Linked DNA regions of Arabidopsis thaliana. The protein of the gene in region 1 interacts with the protein of each later gene in a pairwise test. Each region holds a gene or a part of one and is shown in the gene's direction. Other genes may lie near its edges.

What was found. Proteins that work in one complex are often made in the same cells at the same time.
Region 2: the proteins of MORF9 (region 1) and RCN1 interact in binary tests that used the Arabidopsis thaliana proteins (3 or more experiments, as listed by UniProt).
Region 3: the proteins of MORF9 (region 1) and RGL3 interact in binary tests that used the Arabidopsis thaliana proteins (3 or more experiments, as listed by UniProt).

The regions. Positions count from the first base shown.
Region 1 is NC_003070.9:3,843,581-3,851,206, forward strand, and holds MORF9 (plastid developmental protein DAG), read left to right. Parts: upstream 1-3,639; 5' UTR 3,640-3,692; coding exon 3,693-4,054; intron 4,055-4,830; coding exon 4,831-4,928; intron 4,929-5,025; coding exon 5,026-5,091; intron 5,092-5,185; coding exon 5,186-5,358; 3' UTR 5,359-5,644; downstream 5,645-7,626. Other genes in the region: AT1G11410 (S-locus lectin protein kinase family protein), read left to right, coding at 1-48, 140-284, 378-704; DUF2 (agenet domain protein (DOMAIN OF UNKNOWN FUNCTION 724 2)), read right to left, coding at 1,001-1,686, 1,811-1,895, 1,963-2,082, 2,172-2,258, 2,364-2,765, 2,858-3,292; AT1G11440 (uncharacterized protein), read left to right, coding at 5,838-6,929.
Region 2 is NC_003070.9:8,947,837-8,957,333, forward strand, and holds RCN1 (ARM repeat superfamily protein), read left to right. Parts: upstream 1-3,325; 5' UTR 3,326-3,474; intron 3,475-3,837; 5' UTR 3,838-3,863; coding exon 3,864-4,256; intron 4,257-4,350; coding exon 4,351-4,597; intron 4,598-4,793; coding exon 4,794-4,906; intron 4,907-5,039; coding exon 5,040-5,119; intron 5,120-5,340; coding exon 5,341-5,482; intron 5,483-5,565; coding exon 5,566-5,646; intron 5,647-5,828; coding exon 5,829-5,933; intron 5,934-6,018; coding exon 6,019-6,201; intron 6,202-6,282; coding exon 6,283-6,375; intron 6,376-6,545; coding exon 6,546-6,685; intron 6,686-6,784; coding exon 6,785-6,851; intron 6,852-6,940; coding exon 6,941-7,063; 3' UTR 7,064-7,324; downstream 7,325-9,497. Other genes in the region: AT1G25480 (aluminum activated malate transporter family protein), read left to right, coding at 631-970, 1,155-1,292, 1,394-1,663, 1,763-1,899, 1,993-2,139, 2,426-3,040; AT1G25500 (Plasma-membrane choline transporter family protein), read right to left, coding at 7,601-7,780, 7,872-8,105, 8,204-8,320, 8,406-8,633, 8,748-8,931, 9,029-9,486. UniProt on the Arabidopsis thaliana protein: The A subunit of protein phosphatase 2A serves as a scaffolding molecule to coordinate the assembly of the catalytic subunit and a variable regulatory B subunit. Seems to act as a positive regulator of PP2A catalytic activity.
Region 3 is NC_003076.8:5,761,816-5,769,467, reverse strand, and holds RGL3 (RGA-like protein 3), read left to right. Parts: upstream 1-3,221; 5' UTR 3,222-3,580; coding exon 3,581-5,152; 3' UTR 5,153-5,479; downstream 5,480-7,652. Other genes in the region: AT5G17500 (Glycosyl hydrolase superfamily protein), read right to left, coding at 1-152, 225-421, 513-839, 1,156-1,403, 1,685-2,089; PC1 (pollen calcium-binding protein 1), read right to left, coding at 6,528-6,779. UniProt on the Arabidopsis thaliana protein: Probable transcriptional regulator that acts as a repressor of the gibberellin (GA) signaling pathway. No effect of the BOI proteins on its stability.

The DNA.
Region 1 (7,626 bases):
CGGAGGCAACCAAATCGAAGGAAGCACAAATCGAGTCGTCGGAACATAGTGAGTTAATCTACTATATCAATCCATCCCCACAAAACTCTCCAATTTCTTTTTTTCAATCTTTAAGGTCGTTTCAATCTCACTGTCACAGTGGATACATGTCACCAGAGTATGCAATGGACGGCCAGTTCTCTATTAAATCCGATGTATACAGCTTTGGAGTATTGATCTTAGAGATCATAACCGGAAAGAGAAACAGTGCTTTTTATGAGGAATCTTTGAATCTAGTCAAACATGTAAGTAAAAACTTCTTCCTTTCTTTGACATAACTTGGGGATACAGAGGAGCAAAACAGAACATAAGCAAACGTTTGTTTCTTCGTCTTGTAGATTTGGGATCGATGGGAAAATGGTGAAGCTATAGAGATCATAGACAAATTAATGGGTGAAGAGACGTATGATGAGGGCGAAGTAATGAAGTGCTTACACATTGGGTTACTTTGCGTGCAAGAAAACTCTTCAGACAGACCAGACATGTCCTCTGTTGTCTTCATGTTAGGTCATAACGCCATTGATCTTCCATCTCCGAAGCATCCTGCATTTACGGCGGGAAGGAGGAGAAACACCAAAACTGGCGGCAGCTCAGATAATTGGCCCAGCGGAGAAACCAGCAGTACTATTAACGACGTTACTCTCACCGATGTTCAAGGTCGTTAAGAAGTGTATTCCTCTTCTTTATAATCTAAGAAGACTATAGGTATCAATTTATAGTAATACTTGTTATATAGAAAATTATGTGTTTAAAGCGTATGCAAACTTATTTGTATAAAGTTTACAAATACCTAATGAAAAGAAAAGTTAGCCTCATTATACAGGGGATTACATGGTTAGCTTCATTTCTTCTCTACATAACCCGACTTTTATCAACCACTAACCAACCATATTAATAATGATCTCATAAAAATCTTTAAATCAACTTAGAAAGTGCTCACCATAGGTTTGTTTTTCTTAACTTACCAAGGAGCCGACAAAATTGTCTCAAACTCAAACTCCACATCTTCAAGCTCTACATTGAGATCTTTTGCACATGACTCCATCTGACATATCTTTTTCCAGGCTGCATCTTTCTGTTCTTTTTCTGCTTCCTTTTGTTCTTTTAGAGCAGCTTCTTGCCTCTGCAGCTCGATAATCTTGTGTTTCACCTCAAGAATCTTTTGTTCCATGTCATCAAACTCTTGTTTAGCCTTGCTAAATTCATTTGTCATCTCCTTGTCAAAACCTTTTAGTTCCTCCATTATATATAGTTGTCTATCTTTGAGTGCTAACAGCTTGTCGATCCGTGATAATGGAGTTGTAACATTGAAGCCATGTTTCTCGAGCTCCGAAAATGAATCTTTAAGGCTATTTAGTTGGCTTACAGGAACGTCGGCTTCAAGATCTTTAAATTTCTCCAGTAACCCAAAATAAGTCACCATCATACCTATTGCATACCCTTCACGGAAATCTTGCTTAGTCTCAAACAATGGGCTGAAATGAAGACTGTGTGATACACTTTTGAAGACCTCCAGTGATTCATAAGTCTTCCAGACCGGTGACTTCTTTGCAAAAGGCAAAACCATTATTGTGTGTTTTGCATGGTTTTCCTCAGCATTAGAAGCAGAATTCTTCACCACATTGGGGGTCCGATCCGAGGATAACACTGGACAGATGAACGCATACACAACACAATGAGAAAATAAAGGCTTATCTACCAGTAATAGTACAATGAGACCATTGCAAGCGGGTCCTACATTCCAGAATGTGCAATGAGAGTTAAGACATACCAGTCTTATTGATGTATGAATTGAGCTTTAGACCTCCTCTTTTCCTCTTTCGAGTATAATATTTGATCTTAGGCTCCTCAGGCATCTGTGCATAGAAGTGTTAAACCAAAAGGAGAGCCATCTCAAAGATAAATAACAATCATAAACAATACCTTCTCTCGAGTTGACTCATTTCCAAAGCCATTCTTCATTGGCACAGGGGATACCTTTCCTTGGGTTTTGTTCTTTGTTGCAGTTACCCCCAGGGTTATAGGTAAACCAGATTCTTTTTTCTGGAAAACAAAGACCATAGAACAATTTCAGGGCGTAGAAAACAAACAAGGTTATAAAAGAATCCACTAGCAGGGTTATGACCATATACCACATCATCAGCCATCTCATTTCCCGGTGGTTCCTTTGTCTGCACATTTCTGTTGCCGTCTAAAGAAGTTTCTTTCTGGCGTTTTGGCTGAAAATGGAAATAACATAACAACACTTCAATTAATCCTCAAAGATGTCACACTAATTAAACCAAACCAACACAATGTTGCCTGCAACTAGTGATACAATTTACCTTTGTTCTTTTATGCCAAACTCCATCTTCCCACTCCATTGGAGGCCTAATATCAGAGTGATTAAATTGCGATGCCTCCTTTGTTGCCCCGAAACTTACCATGTACCTTCCCTCAAAGACAATTCCCCTGACCACACCTTGACGCCATTCAAAACCACTAAACGCCTCTACATGATCCAGCAATTCATACTTTCCAACAGATAAAGGAGGCTGCATAGGCCTTAGTCTTAGGGAATCAACAATTAAATTTTTCGATTCCCGGCAGCTATAGGACTTATTCCAGTACTTGACAAGAAACCTCTTGTCCTTCTCCAACTCCTTAATGACAATTACCGGAATCCAAGCACAATCAAATCTCAATTCCACCATTGTCCCGCAACTAAAAACAGACTTGACCAATTCCTTCAAAGACAAAAAACAAACATACAACAACGGATAAAGTTAACAACTTTTTCATGCAAAGGCGAAACGATTTCAAAAAAAACTCATCATACCTTATTATCAGGTCGGATCCATTTGAAGCCGGTCCAATCAAGATGAACCCTCAATTTCTTTTTCTCAAACTGAATAATGTCTGGTGGGCAATCGAAGTAAACCAAAAACTTCTCATCCTCCATTGTTTTTACCACCACACCAGTCCACCACCCATCTTTGAGATAAGCGTCGACCATCAAGCCTTCTACAAAAACGACGCCGTCGTTCACATCCTCCGACGGGACAGGACGAATGAACCTCTGATCGACGAATTCCGTTAAAGGAGCCAAACGGTGTTCATTGAGCTGCGTCAAGTAACGAACTTTAAGCTTATTGTGTCCTGATTTCGTTGGATTATCTTCCAGAATCGCTCTGTAATAAGACCCTTTTAACTCTTCTTCTTCAGAAAAAACTTCTACTTTGTCGTCTTTTCTAATGAATATCATCTGCTCCATCTCAAAAACCCTTGAATGAAAACTAATAACGGCTCATTTTTGCTCTGCTAACCCTAAATCTAAAAAAAGACTTTTCTGCTGAAACCCGAAAACCATAGATATGATTATATGAAGGAGACTTTTTGCAACCAAAACACAGTGCTACTGTGTCTGTGCTTAGTGTCGATATTCACGATACACATCGGGGAAAGTGTGTTTTCTTTTTTTCTTTCCCAATTTACTTTTCTTTTTTTTTGGCGCTTGAAATTATGAGAAAATGATTTAAGAAATTATCAGGCCCAAACTATCTAATGGGCCTAATTAAAAACGGTGTCGTTTCATAGGATCCTCATCACGAAGCAGGTAAGTAAAAATATATCTTATCTTCTCCAAAACTCTCTCTTCGATTTCAGCAATTGCAATGGCTTCCTTCACAACAACTTCTTCTTCCTCGCTTCTCCTCAAAACTCTTCTCCCCGTAAGCCACCTGAATCGTTTCTCTACACTCTCTGGTATCCGCGTTGGCGATTCATGGACTCCTCTGCTCCGGAACATCTCCACCGCTGGGTCTCGGCGTCGAGTGGCGATTGTGAAAGCTGCGACGGTGGATTCGGATTACTCGTCGAAACGGAGCAATAGCAATGAGCAGAGAGAGACGATTATGCTTCCTGGTTGCGATTACAATCATTGGCTCATTGTAATGGAGTTTCCTAAAGATCCAGCGCCAAGTAGGGATCAGATGATTGATACTTACCTTAACACTCTTGCTACTGTTCTTGGCAGGTTCGTTTTCGCTTTCTTATTGATTCTCTTCGTTGTTGAATTAGTTAACTAATAGACGACATTTACTTGTGTTGCTAATGGACTTGTCCTTTGATTGAATCCAATGTTGCGTATAGGAAGATTTGGTTTTTTGTTAGATTAGGGTTTTTGATGATACTTTAGGGTAAGGGTTTAGTGAGCTGAGTAAAGCTTTCAGCTTTAAATTTGCTCTGAAGTTGACCTAGTTCCAGAATTTGTTCTTAATATCAGGTGTAATCTTTAGCTGACTTGTTTTTCGTCTCTTGATATGTGCAAACTTATTGAACATTGCTGCATATTGAACACAAAACATTGGTGTCTGATTTGATATCTAAAACTTTGTGCTCTTTAGCGTAATTATGAATGAAATTAGGGGGAAGAATAGAAGCATCTATTTTTGCATATTTTCTTCAAGCTATGTATAAATTGTAGGTGATTGTGCATGGTTTCTGTTTGTTAAAAACTTGATGTGGACAGTGTAAGCTAGTAATGTATGTAAAAGGAGTGTACAATTGTGCAGAGCATTAGATTGGGACTCCTGACTAGAAATTTCTTGGTATGGCAGGGAACGAGTTTGTGTTACACAACTAATGACTAAAACTTTAGTTTATTTGGTGCTACTCTCTATTTTAGAGAACTTTGATTCCGGTTTACACTATCCTGCTGATGTGATAACCAATTAATGTACTTGTGTCCATTTTCCAGCATAACCAGTTCATCGTGTTTGCTTATTATATGTACTTGTGTCTATTTTCCAGCATGGAAGAGGCGAAGAAGAACATGTATGCATTCAGTACCACGACATATACTGGATTCCAATGCACCATCGACGAAGAAACATCTGAGAAGTTCAAGGGTTAGTTAGTGAGCAAGAAGAGCCTTAGTCCCCTTATTGAAAGTTCGTCGAAAACCTTCAAGATACTGATCGTTCTGTCTTTTCATTATTTTCACAGGTTTGCCTGGAGTTCTCTGGGTCTTGCCTGACTCCTACATAGATGTCAAGAACAAAGACTATGGAGGTAACCCATCAAAGCCTGATTTTAAACTTTCTAGGATCTCTCTCTCTCCCAGTATCCATGTTCTGATAATTGAATCGTTCTTTCTCGGGTTTAGGCGACAAGTACATCAATGGAGAGATTATCCCGTGCACATACCCAACATACCAACCAAAGCAGCGCAATAACACTAAGTATCAAAGTAAGAGATACGAAAGAAAAAGAGACGGTCCTCCACCTCCTGAACAGAGGAAACCAAGACAAGAACCAGCAGCCTCTGATTCCTCTTAAACTATAATAAGATAATGGAGTGTTTGCAAGTTTTGATCTTTTGGTTAGCACTTAGCTTGTTGAAGTCGTGTGTAAAATCGTCTAGTACCAAATGATGATACTGTATCATCACACCTTGAACAATAGCTATTGTTATGTTAGGATGAAATTCAACTTGAACCATTTGTTTATTTAGGTAATGTTCGGTTTTGGTTTGGTTTGATTCTTTGTCAACCACTGCTTTTTCCCCACGTTTTCTCAACACCAATTTCAGACAAGACAAAACAATTGTAGGGTCACACACTCGTCACCAACTCACCATCTACATCAGTCGTCCCTACCTTATCAACACATCACATGGAAATAATACACTACTCTCTCACGGACTTGGAACCAAACATTCCAAATTAGTTTAATCGACAGATCACTGCTCAGCTGAATCGTTTTCTCTCATCAACCGCAGAGAAAGACTTTCAAGATCATCCTTCAAGCTCTCTCAAATGGCCAACTTCTATGAGAATTACCAGAGTCCTTACGATTACAATCAGGTTAATAATCTCTACGATCAAAATCATTATCATTACAATCAACAGCAGCAGCAGCTTGGTTTCGAACCAATGAGTTATAATTATTACAACTGGAATGAATCTGAATCTGAATCTGAATATGTTGCTTACTCTGGTTATGATGATCCAATGAGTTATAATTGTTATAACTGGAATGGATCCGAGTCTGAGACAACCTCTGCATATGTTGCTTACTCTGTTTCTACCATGTCTGAGCCTAAACACTTGTTCTATGATCCGAATCTCTATACAACCTACGAATCTCCTCCTCAGTTTAGTATCTATTGCTCTGTAGCCTCTGCTCTTGACTTCAACGAGCCGGAATTCGATGAATACGATCCCACGCCGTACGGTGGTGGCTACGATGTTGTTGCAACCTATGGAAAACCTCTTCCTCCATCGGTGGAAACTTGTTACCCTTGTTCAACCGCTCCTCACGCTAAAGCTCCCTCTCCTCCTGAGATTATTGCTCCTGTTCCTCTTGGAATTTATGATGGTGGTCAAAAGAATGTTGTCAAGAAACGTGTGTCTTTTGCTGAACCGGTAGAAGAAGTCAAACCAATAGAAACCATTAAAGAGCAAGAACAAGAACAAGACGAAGATTATGATGAAGAAAGTGAGGACGAAGATGATGGTGATGATGATGATGAAGAAGAAGAAGAAGGGGATGAGGAAGCTAAAGAAGAAGAAAAAGATCACAGTTCAAGCTATGGAAATGAGGAATATGAAGTCGTAGATAAAGGAGAAGTGAAAGCTTTGTATGTTCCGTCTGGTTACGGATTAGAAGCGACCGATCTCTGTGAGGTTATATTTGGAGGTTACTTTCCTTGTGTGTTACGTAACAAAAGACGTCAGGAAGATGAACAAGATCGTGGGGCTGCTGTTTCTTGCTGGGAAAGCAACGATTCTGATCCGTGGAAGACAACTTCCGATCACCTTTTCGGGGATTCATATCCGTACGGTTACGAGAATCGGAGCGAAAGAAATCAGTTCGAGGTCTCCTCTTATGGTTACCGGATGTATTAACAACCCTAGTTATCATCAGTTGTGTCAATGTGAGGTAAGAACAACATTCTTTTGATTATTGATGAACCTGATTTTTTAGTATCTGTTACACAAGAGATGAGATTTACTGTTGTATAACGAGGAGGGGTTACTTAATAATAAAACGTCGCACGCAAAATCTATCTTCAACCTTTCTATTTGTAACATTCTCTTTAACACGTTTGTTTAAAATCTAAAATCTTTAAATACTACACTCGATGTGATAATTGATTACTGTATCCATCGTAATTATTATTGGTATATATACATTTCTTTGTGAAAAACACCAAATAAATGAAAGAATTGTATCATGGTATATCTAATATCTATCACTGTGAGTACAAGTGCAGAAGAAATTGTAGAAGTAGAAAAGTCAACGATAAAGATGAATTAGCTGAAGTTGAAGAACACTCTAATAAGTAATAACAAACAATGAACACCATGGGGGTTCTTGATTATCTTAAATGAAAATTAGTACCCGATTCAAAAGAATATCATTTTTTTGTGTTTTTGGAAACTCTTTTGAGACGTTAACATGTTGACTAATAAATTATGTGTAAATATACTTTTTTGCAGAAATTATTTTTGTGGATGTATAACTTGTTTACCTGAGCATGTAAGTATATGGAATTTTCAAAACTGTACTACGTATAGACAATATGCAAATACAGAAAACAAA
Region 2 (9,497 bases), 5.1 Mb from region 1:
GTTGTTGTTCAAATGGTGACAGCAAAACATGAATTAATAGACTGAAACGATTTTTTTTCATCTTACCACAAAACAATTATACACTATTATACATCACATAATAAATGTTATAATTATAAAAAAAACATGAGTGATACTATTTTTTAAACTCTACTCTTCAATTGATAGTTATTTTTGCTTGATTTTTTTTTAGCAAAACAATGATTTAATAAAATAAAAAAATTGTGATATGCCTAATATTGGTAAGAAAGAAAAAATATCGTACTTTTCAATGTCCTTAAAAATACAAATTTTTATGATTTGACTACTTCCAAATTTCTTTAAATGAGTTCAAATTCAAATATTTAAAATTTCGTAAGAAACAATATACATATAGAACAAGAAACATCTTTTATGGACGGCCAAATCATGTTGTTTTTTGCTCTACAAATGAAAATCATATACTATTACTAATTAAATTATATGTTGTCTTATAGCTTCGGAATCTTTCTAAACATGATTCACCCCTTTTCATTACAGGACCCCACTATAATTAAGGTTTCTTCTAAAGTGGGATCCATCTGATCGAACCATCTCATCTCACTCTCAGTTTATGAAATCGTGATCTTTTGGAAGAAGAAATCAACGCAAATGGCTGACCAAACTAGAGAAGCCTTTCTCTCTCGAAAAGCTTGCTCAGATTTCGGATTCAATGATTCAAACATCATCGATGACCGTCGTTCCAAGTTCCGGTGTTTCCGATTTTGCTCCGACGGGATCACTGCTTCCTGGAAAGCTTTATACGACATCGGTGCTAAATTATACGAGATGGGTCGTTCCGATCGTCGGAAAGTTTACTTCTCCGTTAAGATGGGGATGGCTCTCGCACTCTGTTCTTTCGTCATCTACCTTAAAGAACCACTCCGTGACGCTAGCAAGTATGCTGTTTGGGCGATCCTTACTGTTGTCGTCGTCTTTGAGTATAGTATAGGTACTGTGACTCACGAATTCTATAGATTCAGATCGATTCTGGGGTTGTTGTTGTTCGATCAAATCTTCCGGATTTTGATTAAAAATCAAAACTTTCGTCTTCTTCGATCTAAATTCTCATTAGATCTGTCTTAGGATTACTTGTCTTCAGAGATCTAATTTGGCTCTAACTCTGTTTTTTGAAGGAGCAACATTGGTCAAAGGATTTAATAGAGCTATAGGAACACTCTCTGCTGGAGGACTTGCTCTTGGCATAGCTAGACTCTCTGTTTCAGCTGGAGAATTTGAAGAACTCATTATCATTATCAGTATTTTCATTGCAGGTTGCACTATTTCTCTCAATTTTTATTAGAAATGAACCTTTTTTAAATAAACATACTAACTTTATTTTTGATACTTGTGAATCTGTTGGTTTGTCTATCAGGTTTTTCTGCAAGTTATTTGAAACTATACCCGGCGATGAAGTCGTATGAATATGCATTCAGGGTGTTTTTGTTGACATACTGTATTGTTCTTGTGTCTGGAAACAACTCTAGAGATTTTTTTAGCACTGCTTATTATAGGTTTTTGCTTATCCTGGTTGGTGCTGGTATCTGTTTGGGTGTGAACATATTTATACTTCCCATTTGGGCTGGAGAAGACCTCCATAAACTAGTTGTTAAGAATTTCAAAAGTGTGGCCAATTCACTTGAAGGTAGAGAGATACGTCAAATGGCTGTTTTCTCTTGTTTCGTTTCGGGTTTTGGCTGTTTTTTTATGTCTTGTTTTGTTTGTGCTTTCCTAAAACTTTCAGGATGTGTTAATGGGTACTTGCAATGTGTTGAATACGAGAGGATTCCTTCGAAGATTCTCACTTACCAAGCTTCGGATGATCCATTATACAGTGGATACAGGTCTGTAGTCCAATCTACGAGCCAAGAAGATTCTCTGGTGTGTTTTCCTTAGGACACTTTTGTTGAGCAGCAACTAGATAACTTGAAAAGGATTTAGATGATAAGATACGATGACCTCTTTTTTCCTCAGCTTGATTTTGCAGTATGGGAGCCTCCACATGGACCATATAAGACTTTCCACCATCCATGGGCAAACTACGTCAAACTTAGTGGCGCAGTAAGGCACTGCGCTTTCATGGTCATGGCAATGCATGGCTGCATTCTTTCGGAAATTCAGGTAACTTACCATATTCTTGTTAAATACAACTTTATCTATCATAGCAAATGAGGTGCTATAATGGTTATTAGAGACTATACCAACCTGCTTCAAATGCTACTAGTACCTCTTCGTGATTAACTAGACTGTTACTCTGAGAAGTCGGATATTTGTCATATAATTGTTGAGTAGGTGCAAAGTGGGATCTCCTAGTTTACTGTTGTTACTAGTGAATGGTTTTCTTTGAGTTCAATGCTTGTCGTATGCCCTATAAGACTTGTGATATCAATTGGTGTGGGATTTGCAGGCAGCTCCAGAAAAAAGGCAGGCTTTTCGTCAAGAACTTCAAAGAGTTGGAAACGAAGGAGCCAAAGTCTTGAGGTTGTTTGGAGAAAAGGTGGAGAAAATGGAGAAGCTAAGCCCAGGGAACGTTCTCAAGGATGTTCAAAGAGCAGCAGAGGAACTACAGATGAAAATAGACAGTAACTCCTTCCTACTTGTCAACTCAGAAAGCTGGGCTGCTATGAAAGAGAAAGCCGAAGCTGAAGAAGCGCAACAAAACTATCACGAAGCCAAAGACGACGAGTCTAAAGTGATTCAATCCCTCAGCCAGATATGGGACAATAACAACAACCCTCATCATCAGAATCAACACGCTGGTAATGATTCTCAGCTATGGATATCAACAGAGAGTATGATGCTTAGGAACCGCGAAAACTGGCCAAGCGTCTCTTTCATAGGCGGTTCTATGATCAATGAGATAGAATCCAAAGTATATGAAAGTGCGAGTTCTTTGTCGCTAGCTACATTTGCGTCTCTTTTGATCGAGTTTGTTGCAAGGCTCCAAAATATTGTTAACGCGTATGAGGAACTAAGCACTAAAGCCGATTTCAAAGAACAAGTTAGCGAGACACGGATATAGAAAAAGCTGGACTCTGGACCAGACTCAGTAGCTGCTTCAGCTCCAGGGATATAGTTGATTTTGTATAGAAAATTATATACATTATTGCTTTGTTTGTTTGCTGTCTTGAAATAAGTTCCTAATTCCTTTTTGTTTTGTTTTGGCAAAGTCATAAACTCAATTGGAAAGTTTTGTTTTTCTTTCATTGTATCAATTGAATCAACTGTTTAATTTTTTAAAGCAAAAAATTGATTAAAGCCCAACATAACCCAATCCTAAGAAAGCCCAAAATGGCCCAATTAGACACTTTCGTCATTTTATATCTTTCCCTTTAATAAATCCTTCGTAAAAAAAAATCAAACGCAGAATATTATTTTTCTCGCTCGCGAATTCCTCTTTCTCACCTTTTCTCGCTCCTGGGAATCTGAAGCAGTTCTTCTCCGACGCCTGGATCGGTAAGTTGATTTCCAGTTTCTTCTTAACGAATCATAAGATCTCATCTCTAAACCTTCATTTTCCGATTCACATTCCCTTTAATCCAACTTCGAACCGGTGAATCTGAACCCATTTCTCGCTTCTTCTGTTTTATTCATACCCGATTCGTTTCAAAATCTGCAGTATAGTCTTAATCTGTTTGTGCAAGTAGAGAAAAATCAATAAAGCCGAAGATAACACTCGAGTGGCTATAATTGTTTTTTCCCAGGATCTGTAAATGATTTCTCGTATTTATTACTAAATATTTTATTCGAGATCCGAAAATATCTATTGTTTCGTCTCTTATAGCAATGAGCTCATAGGAATTATTTTTGGTGTTGCAGTGATTTGATTCGAACTTTCACATAAGATGGCTATGGTAGATGAACCGTTGTATCCCATTGCTGTGCTTATAGATGAGCTTAAGAATGATGATATTCAGCTTCGTTTGAACTCGATCCGTCGCTTATCTACTATAGCTCGTGCTCTTGGAGAGGAGCGTACAAGGAAGGAGTTAATCCCTTTTTTGAGTGAGAATAGTGACGATGACGATGAGGTGCTTCTTGCAATGGCTGAGGAGTTAGGAGTTTTTATTCCGTTTGTTGGAGGAATTGAGTTTGCGCATGTTCTTCTTCCTCCTTTGGAATCTCTATGTACTGTTGAAGAGACTTGTGTGAGAGAAAAAGCTGTGGAATCGCTTTGTAAGATTGGATCTCAGATGAAAGAGAATGATCTTGTTGAATCTTTTGTTCCTCTTGTGAAGGTTAGTTTAGGAGATTTATGTAGCACTAGATTACGCCGTTTTGTTAGTTGGTTCAATCAAAGCTTTTTTTTTTGTTTTGTTGTTTGTCTTGTAGAGGTTAGCGGGTGGTGAATGGTTTGCAGCAAGAGTTTCTGCATGTGGTATATTTCATGTTGCATACCAAGGTTGCACTGATGTGTTGAAGACTGAGTTACGGGCTACTTATAGCCAGTTGTGCAAAGATGATATGCCAATGGTGCGAAGAGCTGCTGCATCTAACCTGGGGAAATTTGCTACAACTGTCGAGTCTACCTTTTTGATTGCTGAGATCATGACTATGTTCGATGATCTTACTAAAGATGGTACTTAATGTTTGAATATATCGTACTTTATATGTGCTCATCACTTAGAAATAGTTTGCATAGACCCAAGAGTATGGTAAAGAGATCACATTTGAATTAATAAACGCTGTTTGATGAAATATATTGGATACTTACCTCTTCAGAAATGTTTGTTTTATCTGTGCTTATATTGGTTAAACTTTAACCTTCATTTCAGACCAAGATTCTGTGAGACTATTGGCTGTTGAAGGGTGTGCAGCTCTTGGAAAGTTGTTGGAACCTCAGGATTGTGTTGCACGCATTTTACCTGTTATTGTTAATTTCTCTCAGGTGAATTGAGCTTTGTTTTTTTCATTCATGGATTTTTCAGTTAATTGTCTGCTGTTCCATGTTTAATTTTCATCGGTAAAAGCTTGCTGTTCTGATGTTTTTCTATGGTGTTTGTATTGATTTCTGAGAGCAGGATAAATCTTGGAGGGTGCGCTACATGGTTGCTAATCAGCTATATGAACTTTGTGAGGCAGTGGGTCCTGATTGCACGAGGTATGTGTTTTGTGACATTGTTGATTTTTTTGTCATCCTTGCTAATCTAGGCTTTCGTTCTCGTAAAACAGTTTTGTGACCTTCAAACAAATATGCATCTAAGAGCGTCTATTGGAAGTTTTCTTTATTCTTTTTCGTTCATATAAGAGCCTTCCATGGTAGTTCTATGTTTGTACATGTATCTTTTTATTTTGACACAATTTATGTTATAATATCTCTAGGACGGATTTGGTTCCAGCATATGTGAGATTGCTAAGGGACAATGAGGCTGAAGTGCGAATAGCAGCAGCGGGAAAAGTGACCAAGTTCTGTCGGCTTTTGAATCCAGAGCTTGCGATTCAGCACATCCTTCCTTGTGTGAAGGTAAGACTCCTTAAATTCTATATAAACGAGTTGTTTGATGTCCCCTGTCTCGTAATATTCTGATACATACTGATGTCTGGCAGGAATTATCATCGGATTCTTCTCAACATGTCCGCTCTGCTCTAGCTTCAGTAATAATGGGGATGGCTCCTATCCTTGGGAAGGTATGAACTGAAGATAGCCAACATTTTCGCATCTTGTGACAATGTTCTGAGATTTAATTTGTTTTATGGTTTTCATCAACAAAATCAGCCATACCTTGTGTTATGGCGTGGTTATACCAGCCCCAACTGGTGTTGCAGACCTTATCAAAAAATTATTAACATACTAAAATCTTTCAATACAGGACTCAACCATTGAGCATCTGTTACCAATTTTTCTTTCCCTTTTGAAAGATGAATTTCCTGATGTGCGCCTTAACATCATAAGCAAGTTAGATCAAGTCAACCAGGTTTGTTGCATCTCTCTTGTGTGCTTTAGATACTACTTTTATTGCTTCCTTATTTAGTTGGTGACTGAATTATCTTTTACGGCAGGTTATTGGAATTGATCTACTATCTCAATCCTTGTTACCGGCCATTGTAGAACTTGCTGAGGATCGGCACTGGAGAGTCCGACTTGCAATAATAGAGTATGTTCCACTGTTGGCCAGCCAGTTAGGTATAGGATTTTTCGATGACAAGCTCGGAGCCCTTTGCATGCAATGGCTGCAAGACAAGGTTTACCTTGAATCTTTGATGTTTGCATAAATTTCTCATTCACTTGTTATTGTAGATATTGACACTGTTCTCCTCCTTCAGGTCTACTCTATCCGCGAAGCTGCAGCAAACAACCTAAAGCGCCTCGCAGAGGAGTTTGGTCCTGAATGGGCAATGCAGCACTTAGTTCCCCAGGTATTCTTTGAGCATTTTATACTAAAACCATCTGTCTGTTTATCTTATTGTTGATCTATGTCAAGTACCTCACCTATAACATCTAATCTCCAGCTTTGGTCCCTTTTCTTTGGATATCACTAAAGCTGCAAATATTGAGATCTCCAGATTGACCTTTATCATATAAACAGGTATTGGACATGGTCAACAATCCGCACTACCTACACAGGATGATGGTTCTACGCGCAATATCTCTCATGGCGCCTGTAATGGGATCAGAAATCACATGCTCTAAGTTTCTTCCTGTGGTTGTTGAAGCATCAAAAGACAGGTACAATAGATAGATTAGAGGATATGAATAAGCCAAACTAGTTTAAGAACACTTCTTAGTTTTTAATGTGTTGTTGTTGCACACCTCTTATCTCTGCAGAGTTCCAAACATCAAGTTCAACGTTGCCAAACTTCTGCAATCCCTCATCCCCATAGTCGACCAATCAGTACGATCATAACAAACATAACTCAGTTATATCGAAAACTAATGGAAATTGTTGAATTTTAATGTTTTTGCCGTGTCAAAAATTTGTAGGTGGTGGACAAAACAATCCGTCAGTGTTTGGTGGACCTGAGCGAAGACCCTGATGTTGATGTTCGTTATTTTGCAAATCAAGCACTTAATTCCATCGATGGTTCCACAGCAGCACAATCCTGAATTGTTTTTTTTTCATATGTATGATCGTTAAGTTAAGTTTCTATTATTCGTGTTCTCTGCAATTTATTTGGTTTGTTTGTGTAAAACGCCATTTTGGTTGCTGGCTATGAACTGCAACTATTTTTGTTAGTAAAATTGTATTACCTTTTTTACACTTTCTGTTGTTCCAAACCTTATACATTCTTCTTAGTTTACTAATGCTAACACTACTCCCTTAGTGAAACTATTTGAGATAGAGTGAAATGCGTGTGGCTATGTTTGGTCTTCTGACTAGTTCTTGTTTCAAACTTTATCCAACCCCTCTAGATCAACTTTGTTCTATTCAATTGATTTTGTTTTTCTAATAAACACAAAAATCAATACATTAGATTTTGATACAAACGCCCACAGCCTCCTATTCATGATTCAACAAATAGAAAGCATAAATCATTTGACAAAATAATTTTAGCCACAAGGGTTAGCCCGCTTTTAGCACCCTCTAATAGCATAATATTCTACAGTTATATCTCCTATTTTCCAAGAGGAGGCATAGGCTAATCAAGCGGTCGTCAAAACTTCACGGGCTCGCGAGCTACGATGTTGGAGACGACGGTGAAGCACCTCAGACATCTCAGTGTAGAAATCAGCATCCCATCTCTGAATCAACAAAGGATCTTCAGCAAAACATATGTATATCGATGTCACAGCGCTTTCGACTACCACCATTCCTAAACCCACCTGAACACCACATTGGATCAATGAAACAAAGTGAACAAGTTGGTCATGTAATTTTTTGGGTGACTAAAAGAGTGCACAAAAGAAAACTCACAAGAACCATTCCCATCAACATAGCCGTAGATGCAACCATTATAACTCGGTCACTGTACTTGATCCAAGCCCATATACCAATGCAAGAGCCTGTGATGAGTCCTCCAAAGATGGTTCCCATCAGAAGTACAGCACCAGAGCAGTCATATGCAACAAGTGCCTCTACACCTGTCGACTGAAACAATTCCCATGCGTCTCTTGCTGATTTGTTGAATCCTTTTCCATACACTGCAATCTGATAATTAACCAAACGTTTTTTTCATTCTGAGTCTCATTGCTCATAGGAGGGAGATGATGAGCTTGTTTAAAAACTGTCTATATTTATATATATACCTGGACGTATGCATACTTGTTAAAAAAACGAACTAGTGTTTCAACTAGATGAAACAGGAAATCAACGCAGCAAAGTAAACATTCGTTTCCACAAATCTTGGACCGGAATCCCCTTATCTGCAAAAGAAAGTTGCAGACTAATGTTATTAACAAGAGGAGCAATGATAATGTTTTACGAACAGCAAAGGATGCTGGAGACTACCTCCCAGCGAAGTGTTCTAATGGCAGCAGTGAAGAGTGAACCGTAACATATGCTCCCAAAAGATGTTGTCACGGCATACCTAAGTGAGTCTACCAAAGAGCTAGGAGGCAACGATGATGACTCTTCTTGACCACAGTGAAAGAGAACATGAAACACCATCCCAGAAACTATAACATGGACAGTGTTACATAGCACAGCGCCTGTCCAGAATAAGCTAACCGAAAGAACCTGCATATATATTATATGTTCCAATGATTGAGTGAATTCTAAACATGTTTACTTTCAGACACTTAAAGCAGAAAACAGAAACCGTGAGTAAAAATGCAAAACTTGCCAGCTCACCACAAGAAGCCACCATCGTCCCTCATCGCCCATGCTCGATGCCACAACACCAGCTGCTCCAAAAGACCATAGAGACATCCACAAAAGCATGACTACTGTGAAAGCATGTGCCACCATTATCACCTTAGGAAGTCCCCAGACTAATTTCAGCGCTTTCCGTAGGACCAGCATTGTGAAAGGAAGTCTACACATGAACAACTCAAATCATCAGAACTAAAAAGTTGTTGCCATTTGACCATAGGGGTTCAGTCATAGTTCAACCAGTTCAACCTCGGACGCACCTGTCTATAACTGAAATAACATACAAGAACTGCAACAGAGATCCAACAGCGAATGCACCGCCCCAAAAGAACAGTCTGCACCAGAAACATAGTACACTAACTACAGCTAGATAGGTTGTTAAGATGTGAACCGAAACTTTCATCATCTCATTGGCGTAAGAGCCAAGCAGCAATGACCAAACCCAACTGATAAAGACTCCAATGCCACCAGCAACAGCATAGAGAGGCCAGTAATCCTCTGTTAGACCTTTATGATTCTCCAAGAACCCTTGAGTGTACCTATCGATGTTTAACCTATCTGATATTCTAAACCTATTGAGTCCAAGCACCGCGAGCACAAATCCCAAACAAATCAAGTGGATCACAAAGATGGCTGACCAGAATACATCATGCCAATGGCGGGACTCACGCACAACGGCTCGGTTTCCATCTCCACTCCTTCGACTCCGCTGAAGACTCTGCAAATCAA
Region 3 (7,652 bases), on another chromosome or scaffold:
AAGTATGCCTCCATGAGAATAGCTCCACGGTTCGTCCTTTGTGCATGGACCTAACGTGAGCTCGGACTCATGGCAGTGTGACTTTCTCACTAGGCAGAGTCCGGTTAACGGATGAAATATTTTCTTGTGATGATTGTGCTTTACACCGGGTCCTGTTTATTAAATTTACATCAAACTATATGTAATAATAATCTGGTTAAATTACAAGCAAGATTGATGAATACCTGTGTGCGGTGGTTGAATGACGGAGAGCCTACGGAGATAAGTATAGTTATGAACATTATGCCAATTCGCATCTAACATACCGTAAGCTTCAACTACACCACGTTTGCCTTCGCGGAAATAATAAACTCCCGTAACCGCCCAAACCGCCCAATCCAAATCTTTCTCGGCCGCCCATGCCAACATACAATTCATGTACCTAATGGTATACGGTTGATAAAAGTACTTTAAGCTTTGATTGGTAAGCAAATATCTAAATGTAATTATAAAGGAAAGCCTTGGTCGAGAACCTGTTTCCTTCAAGATCGCCACCTCTTTGATCGGTCCCAAACTCGCTCAAGAACAAAGGAAAGCCTTGGTCGAGAACAAAACCGCCGGTACGACGCTCCTTAGAGAACATTTGGCTGCAAAAGTCGTTGACATTGTGTGACTTCCATTGACCAGTACCGTCAGTGAAAGAATACCAATGAAGCTCCAAGACAAGTTTTTTCTTGAAGCTAAGATTCACTGGACGATCTTTTAAGAAACTTAGGTCAGCATCGAAGTTAAGCCCTGAGAGTATGACCAGTACGTTAGGGTTTGATGTATGCACTGCTTCTGCTCCTTTTTGCATGTACCTACATGTGGAAAAATAATAATCATTTTTTCTATTTAAAAAAAGGTTAGAATCAAGTTAATTTATTATTTATATGCGTTGATTCTTGTTGTTAAATTGATGGACATTGGATTCCTATATTAACCAATATAAATATATATTTTTTAATGTACTTGTACTTAACTATTATTGTGGATTTAATTATGTATAGCACAACGGAATATAATCTGTTAAGATCTAAAATAGACAGATAATTAACGTGTATTAATTTCCTTGGCCTTCAAGCTTCACATGGGCGTTATGATAAATAAATGAAAATGGAATTTATAAATACGTACTTGTACCAATCTTTTGATGTATGATTGTAGCCTCTAAGTTCATTCCTCAGGCTCATACCAACAACGTTTTTCACGTTCATAAATATTGTGGCCATCTTCTTAAGACCCAACATCCATAGATCCGGGTTGAATTTTGGGTCGCCAAAGAACGCGTCCGGGTCATCGTTGCTACAACACCACCCCGGTACGGTCTTGTGGTTGTCAAGTATCACCATCACATCATGCCTCCCAAGACTATACACCACAGCCTACACAAACATGTTGCCTTGCGTTAGAAGATATCATATAGTAAAAACAAGAAGCATGTGAAATATATTTTTTTCATTACAACGATGATCAGATCTGAAAAGAAATGGAAAAATAATCATTATTGCAATATAAGATAAAACATGTTTTAGTCATATTTTTCAGTCACAAATGACTTATTTAAAAACCATGGATTTTTAATTGAACATGAAAAGAATAGTTTTTGTTTGAGTTGAAGAAATTATGTAATACTAGAATCACATGATTAATTATGTATTTATACCTGAAAGACATTGATGAGAGGAGTATTGACAATGTATGGATTGTGAGTGTAAATCCCTTGAAGCTCATGATCCAATCCATATCTCTCAAATGATTGTTTCACGGTAACATTAAAGGCTAAAGTGTCATTAATCATTAATTCAAGTGGCCAAGTGAGCCTAACACAATTGAATCCCATGTCTTTTATCTTTTTCGATATTGAATCCATTGGCTGGCTGCTCAGCCCCTCTGCTACCACTGGCTTGAGGTGCGAAGGCCAGTTCGCGCAAGCTAGCTTCACGCGGTGGCCCTTGTTGTTTACGATCCATCGAGACTTTGTGAATAGTGGATAATCTGTTGCTAGGGTTAGAGATATTAATGACAAGAATAAGAACAAAAAGACAGTTAAAGCGATTGCTTTTGCCATGCTTATTTCGTTGTGACTGTGTTTTAGGAAGATCATTAAGTATATATAGAGAGTGAAATCAAGGGTTTTTGTCACAATGATAGGGGATTTGTTGAGTTTCTTTTGTAAGATAATTGACTAAATATTTCAGGGTTGGTTACTTAGTTTGATGATAGGTTTCAAAATGTAAATAAATGAGATATTTACGGAACATTGTGGATAAATATCTTCTTACCACACGTTTTGGATAGTGTAGTTTTTTTTATTGTTCGAATAATTAAGAGGATAATTAGTCAATGGATCATCCGCCTAAAATGTCGAGAAAGTAACTTGGGTAACATTTCAAAACGTATCCGGCCATTAAATAGTCTCGTCATTTATTTGTTTCCCTCAAAATTGCCAATATATCAACGAACGAAGGGTAATATACTAATATATTTAGCTTGTGTATTCATTCGCTAAGTCATATAAAATTACTCGAAACTTTATTTTATACAGGATTATACATTATTTTCACAAAACGGAAAATAATAAGCCATTTGTACTTAGACCAACAAACTAATTCAAGAGTGAAATCTATTTTTATGTTCAGTTCTACTCTATTATAAAAATCTTCTATATATGTAACTATCATGTTTAAAATGATGTTTTTGGTATGGGGAATAAAATTCAATTTACACACATAAAGAAATGAAAACATAATAATAATAAGAAAGCAACGTAATGTTGTAGACGTCTGATACCTAATGTCGACTGCCGCCACATGTCGACCGTGAGGTTGGTCACGTTGTCTCCCTAACTGCAATACTTTGAGCTGTACTTCTATCGGGACCTCTATTTTCTTCTCAAACTTTTTTAAAAATTAGTATTATTTTATACCATTTCGGCAAACAAATTATTAGGAGATAGTATCATTTAAAAAAATAAATATCAAATTTTGTCAGTAAAATTATTACAGTATGTCACGTTAACTAGTTAAAATTTTGTTATAGAAACAAGATACTTGAAGAAAACGGGCTGTTACTTTCGGAGTTTACAAGTTCCATTTCTCGAGAAGAACTATTTGGGTTATCAATATAGGTCATATGATATGACTAATATCTACTGCAGCACCCAATTTAATAATTCTAGAAACTCTAAATTCAACATTTAGTGGGTATTAAAAAATAGTTTAATAGACTATGACAGTCCATTGGACCATTAAACAAAAACTACACGCCCTTATCAGAGCGACGAATTTTTTGTAACTTGGATCAGAAATTCAATAAAGTTATAGTAATAAAAATGAAATAATTTGGAAAAGAAAGAATAGAGAAGAAAACACATGCGAAATTATAATGGCCTGCCTCTCTTCCTTCTTATCTCTTTTACTTACACTCTCCAGGTCCCTCACTTCCCTCATTGGACCTCTCTAACTCTCCTCTCTTACCTTCTCCTGTTTAAATTCTTCTCCTTTCTTTCCACAATTTCTGTCTAACCAATTCCAACACCAAAAAATTCCATTTCTTGACGATGAAACGAAGCCATCAAGAAACGTCTGTAGAAGAAGAAGCTCCTTCAATGGTGGAGAAGTTAGAAAATGGTTGTGGTGGTGGTGGAGACGATAACATGGACGAGTTTCTTGCTGTTTTGGGTTACAAGGTTCGATCTTCAGACATGGCAGATGTTGCACAGAAGCTTGAACAGCTTGAAATGGTCTTGTCCAATGATATTGCCTCTTCTAGTAATGCCTTCAATGACACCGTTCATTACAATCCTTCTGATCTCTCCGGTTGGGCTCAGAGCATGCTCTCGGATCTTAATTACTACCCGGATCTTGACCCGAACCGGATTTGCGATCTGAGACCAATCACAGACGACGATGAGTGTTGCAGTAGCAATAGTAACAGCAACAAGAGGATTCGACTCGGTCCTTGGTGTGACTCAGTGACCAGCGAGTCAACTCGTTCCGTGGTGCTTATCGAGGAGACAGGAGTTAGACTCGTTCAGGCGCTAGTGGCCTGCGCCGAGGCGGTTCAGCTGGAGAATCTGAGCCTCGCGGATGCTCTCGTCAAGCGCGTGGGATTACTCGCGGCTTCTCAAGCCGGAGCCATGGGGAAAGTCGCTACCTACTTCGCCGAAGCCCTAGCTCGTCGAATTTACCGGATTCATCCTTCCGCCGCCGCCATTGATCCTTCCTTCGAAGAGATTCTTCAGATGAACTTCTACGACTCGTGTCCCTACCTGAAATTCGCTCATTTCACGGCCAATCAGGCGATTCTAGAAGCTGTTACGACGTCGCGTGTCGTACACGTAATCGATCTAGGGCTTAATCAAGGTATGCAATGGCCGGCGTTAATGCAAGCCTTAGCTCTCCGACCCGGTGGTCCACCGTCGTTTCGTCTCACCGGCGTTGGGAATCCGTCGAATCGAGAAGGGATTCAAGAGTTAGGTTGGAAGCTAGCTCAGCTGGCTCAAGCCATCGGCGTCGAATTCAAATTCAATGGTCTAACGACGGAGAGGTTATCCGATTTAGAACCGGATATGTTCGAGACCCGAACCGAATCGGAGACTCTAGTGGTTAATTCGGTTTTCGAGCTTCACCCGGTTTTATCCCAACCCGGTTCGATCGAAAAGCTGTTAGCGACGGTTAAGGCGGTTAAACCGGGTCTCGTAACAGTGGTGGAACAAGAAGCGAACCATAACGGTGACGTTTTCTTAGACCGGTTTAACGAAGCGCTTCACTATTACTCGAGCTTGTTCGACTCGCTCGAAGATGGTGTTGTGATACCGAGTCAAGACCGAGTCATGTCGGAGGTTTACTTAGGGAGACAGATATTGAACTTGGTGGCGACGGAAGGAAGCGATAGGATCGAGCGACACGAGACGCTGGCTCAGTGGCGAAAACGTATGGGATCCGCCGGGTTTGACCCGGTTAACCTCGGATCAGACGCGTTTAAGCAAGCGAGTTTGCTATTGGCGTTATCTGGCGGTGGAGATGGATACAGAGTGGAGGAGAACGACGGAAGCCTAATGCTTGCGTGGCAAACGAAACCTCTAATCGCTGCATCGGCGTGGAAACTAGCGGCGGAGTTGCGGCGGTAGATACGTCGTCATAAAGAGGAGAAGAAAAAAGACTTAGCGAACGTGACCTTATGTTTTTATTTTACTTTAACTTACCCCAGTAGTTTCGTTTTGTGACAATTTCGCCCGAAATATTCCGTGCCTTATACTTTTGGGACCCAGTTGGTTCGTTGGTCGTGGAGATTCGAGAACGAGGAACATGTGTGTATGTAACAACAGCACGAGCAAGTGTTTTCATAGTTTGAATAAATATGAAAGAAATGACGTTTATTTTATTTTTTGTCAACGAATTGACGTTACGTTTAATTTCACCCAAAATATATACAAAATGACGCATGAATGAATTTGGACCGACTCGATTATTACATAGAGGCTAACGTTTCTGGGAGATGATGATGATGATAGAAGTAAAGAAGCTAAACCTCACTTGAGTCTTTTTATTCTGAAAAGCCGGAGTCCAAACTCTACTTTTGGGTTTTTTGAGAGGTTTTCATTGTCAGCTTTTGATCAAGTGGGTGAAACCGTTTTGCTTAGGAATGTGTAAAAGAAAACTTGATATTTACTACTAATTTTATCACCACTTTTGAAAAATACATGTATTCATAGAAAGATATGATAAAGTTGGACCACATTCTCATTCTCTAAACTCACTTTAAACATGGCAATGTTTAAATATCCTCAAGTCTTGGAACATCTTCAGACTTACCATTTCTTGATTTTACCCGTAACAACACTTCAATATCTGAGTAGTCAAGACTAAACAATCCGAACAATATCAGCTTTTGATTTTATATAAATATAACTATATAAGACTTCCTAACAAAGAGGAACATGAGTCCCACAGCCACAGCATGTCGTAATCGATGGATGAGACGGCTGTGTAGGCATAGTTATTGGTTTCTCCGGCTAAGTCCTAACATGGACTTAGGAGAAAGTTTGAGGTGAGACCGAGAGGATAGGCGGAGAGGTTTACGTTAAAGAGAATGCATCCGCAATATATTTACTTTTTAAGTAATTCTAAAAATGTAGTTACTTTATTTTATATCAATGATTTAAAATGTATATGCGAGAAGCCTAAACCAAATAATGAACTTTAAGGAACAAAACAAATTATGAATGTTTTGGTTCTCTTCACTGTTAAAGCCATTTTTATATCTTTTTAAAACAAAACATTCGTTGTTGTGGTGTTCAACAAACCAAAACAAAACAAACTAGCCCCCTTTTCAAGAATGATCCACTCACATCACATTACATGGAATTAGGATACAATCATATAAATTAAAACTCACCAAGTGTAAAAACAACAAAAATAAGAATTGACGATGCTTAGAACCAAATCTCTCAATATATATAAAAAAATTCAAACATTTCAAAAGTAAAAGTATGGCAAAAAAAATTAGAAAATTTTGGCAACATCCTTCATAAGTCCACGATTGGCACCTGCAAAATCAGTGAATTCTTGATACGATATGTTTCCATCACCATCAGTATCAATTTCAGCCATCATACGTTTGACGTCATCAGCTGTTACCGAACCAAGTGTCTTAAGAGCTTCTTCGAGTTCGGCTGCTGAAATTTTTCCGTCACCATTAGCATCAAATTTCTTGAAAATACGGTCGTGCTCGGCTTTCTCCGTTGCATCAGCCATAATGTCTTGGTGAATATGTGGTTGTGTGCGCGTTTTTATAAGATGAAAACAATCTTTCTTTTTATTGGTGGAGGAATAAGGAAAAATCAAATTATATAAATCTTTGAGTGGAATGAACAGTTGAGGTTGTGCTTTTACTTAGGAACTTTTGGAGGAATGTTTAAACAACAATTGAACGAAATTGGTCCAAGTTAAAACCTAAACTTAGCAAAATTAGGATGTGACTTGGTCTTGAACAAAATTTAGATTCAAGTAGCTAATGGATTTATTCCATTATCGAATTTAAATCTTAATCTATGGTTCTGTCTCTGTTTATAATACTTACAAATCATTTCTTAAAAATATTTATTTCTTACCATCTCAAACTTTCATTAAGATTGGCTGGCCATTAACTAGACCAAGAAAATTTCCACTATTTACCTCTATCTTTTGTGTATAAATATCTAAATATTTTATTATTTTATATATTTTAAAACTACATTAATTAAATACACTTAGATGTTTTAAGAAAATAAGAAACTGAATTTACAAAGTAGTGGAATCATTATAATACTTTGATGTATTCATTAAAATGTAGCTAAAATCTGTAAACTATACAAAATAAATTTGATAAGACAAGAAAAATATGAAAAGTATTCTTTTGGAGATTTAGATCAATATCTATAAAATGTACCTTTGATAAACACAATATATCTTTTTAACTGTACTAAATATTTACATTATATTTACAAAATTTATTGTTGACAAAATAAGCACATCTACATCTATTTAAAGATAATAAGTAACAAAATCTATTAATTAACCAAAATCACTGCATTTCTTTTAATCATCCAGACCAAAAATGCTAAAGGAGATCTAGTCACACAAGTCTTA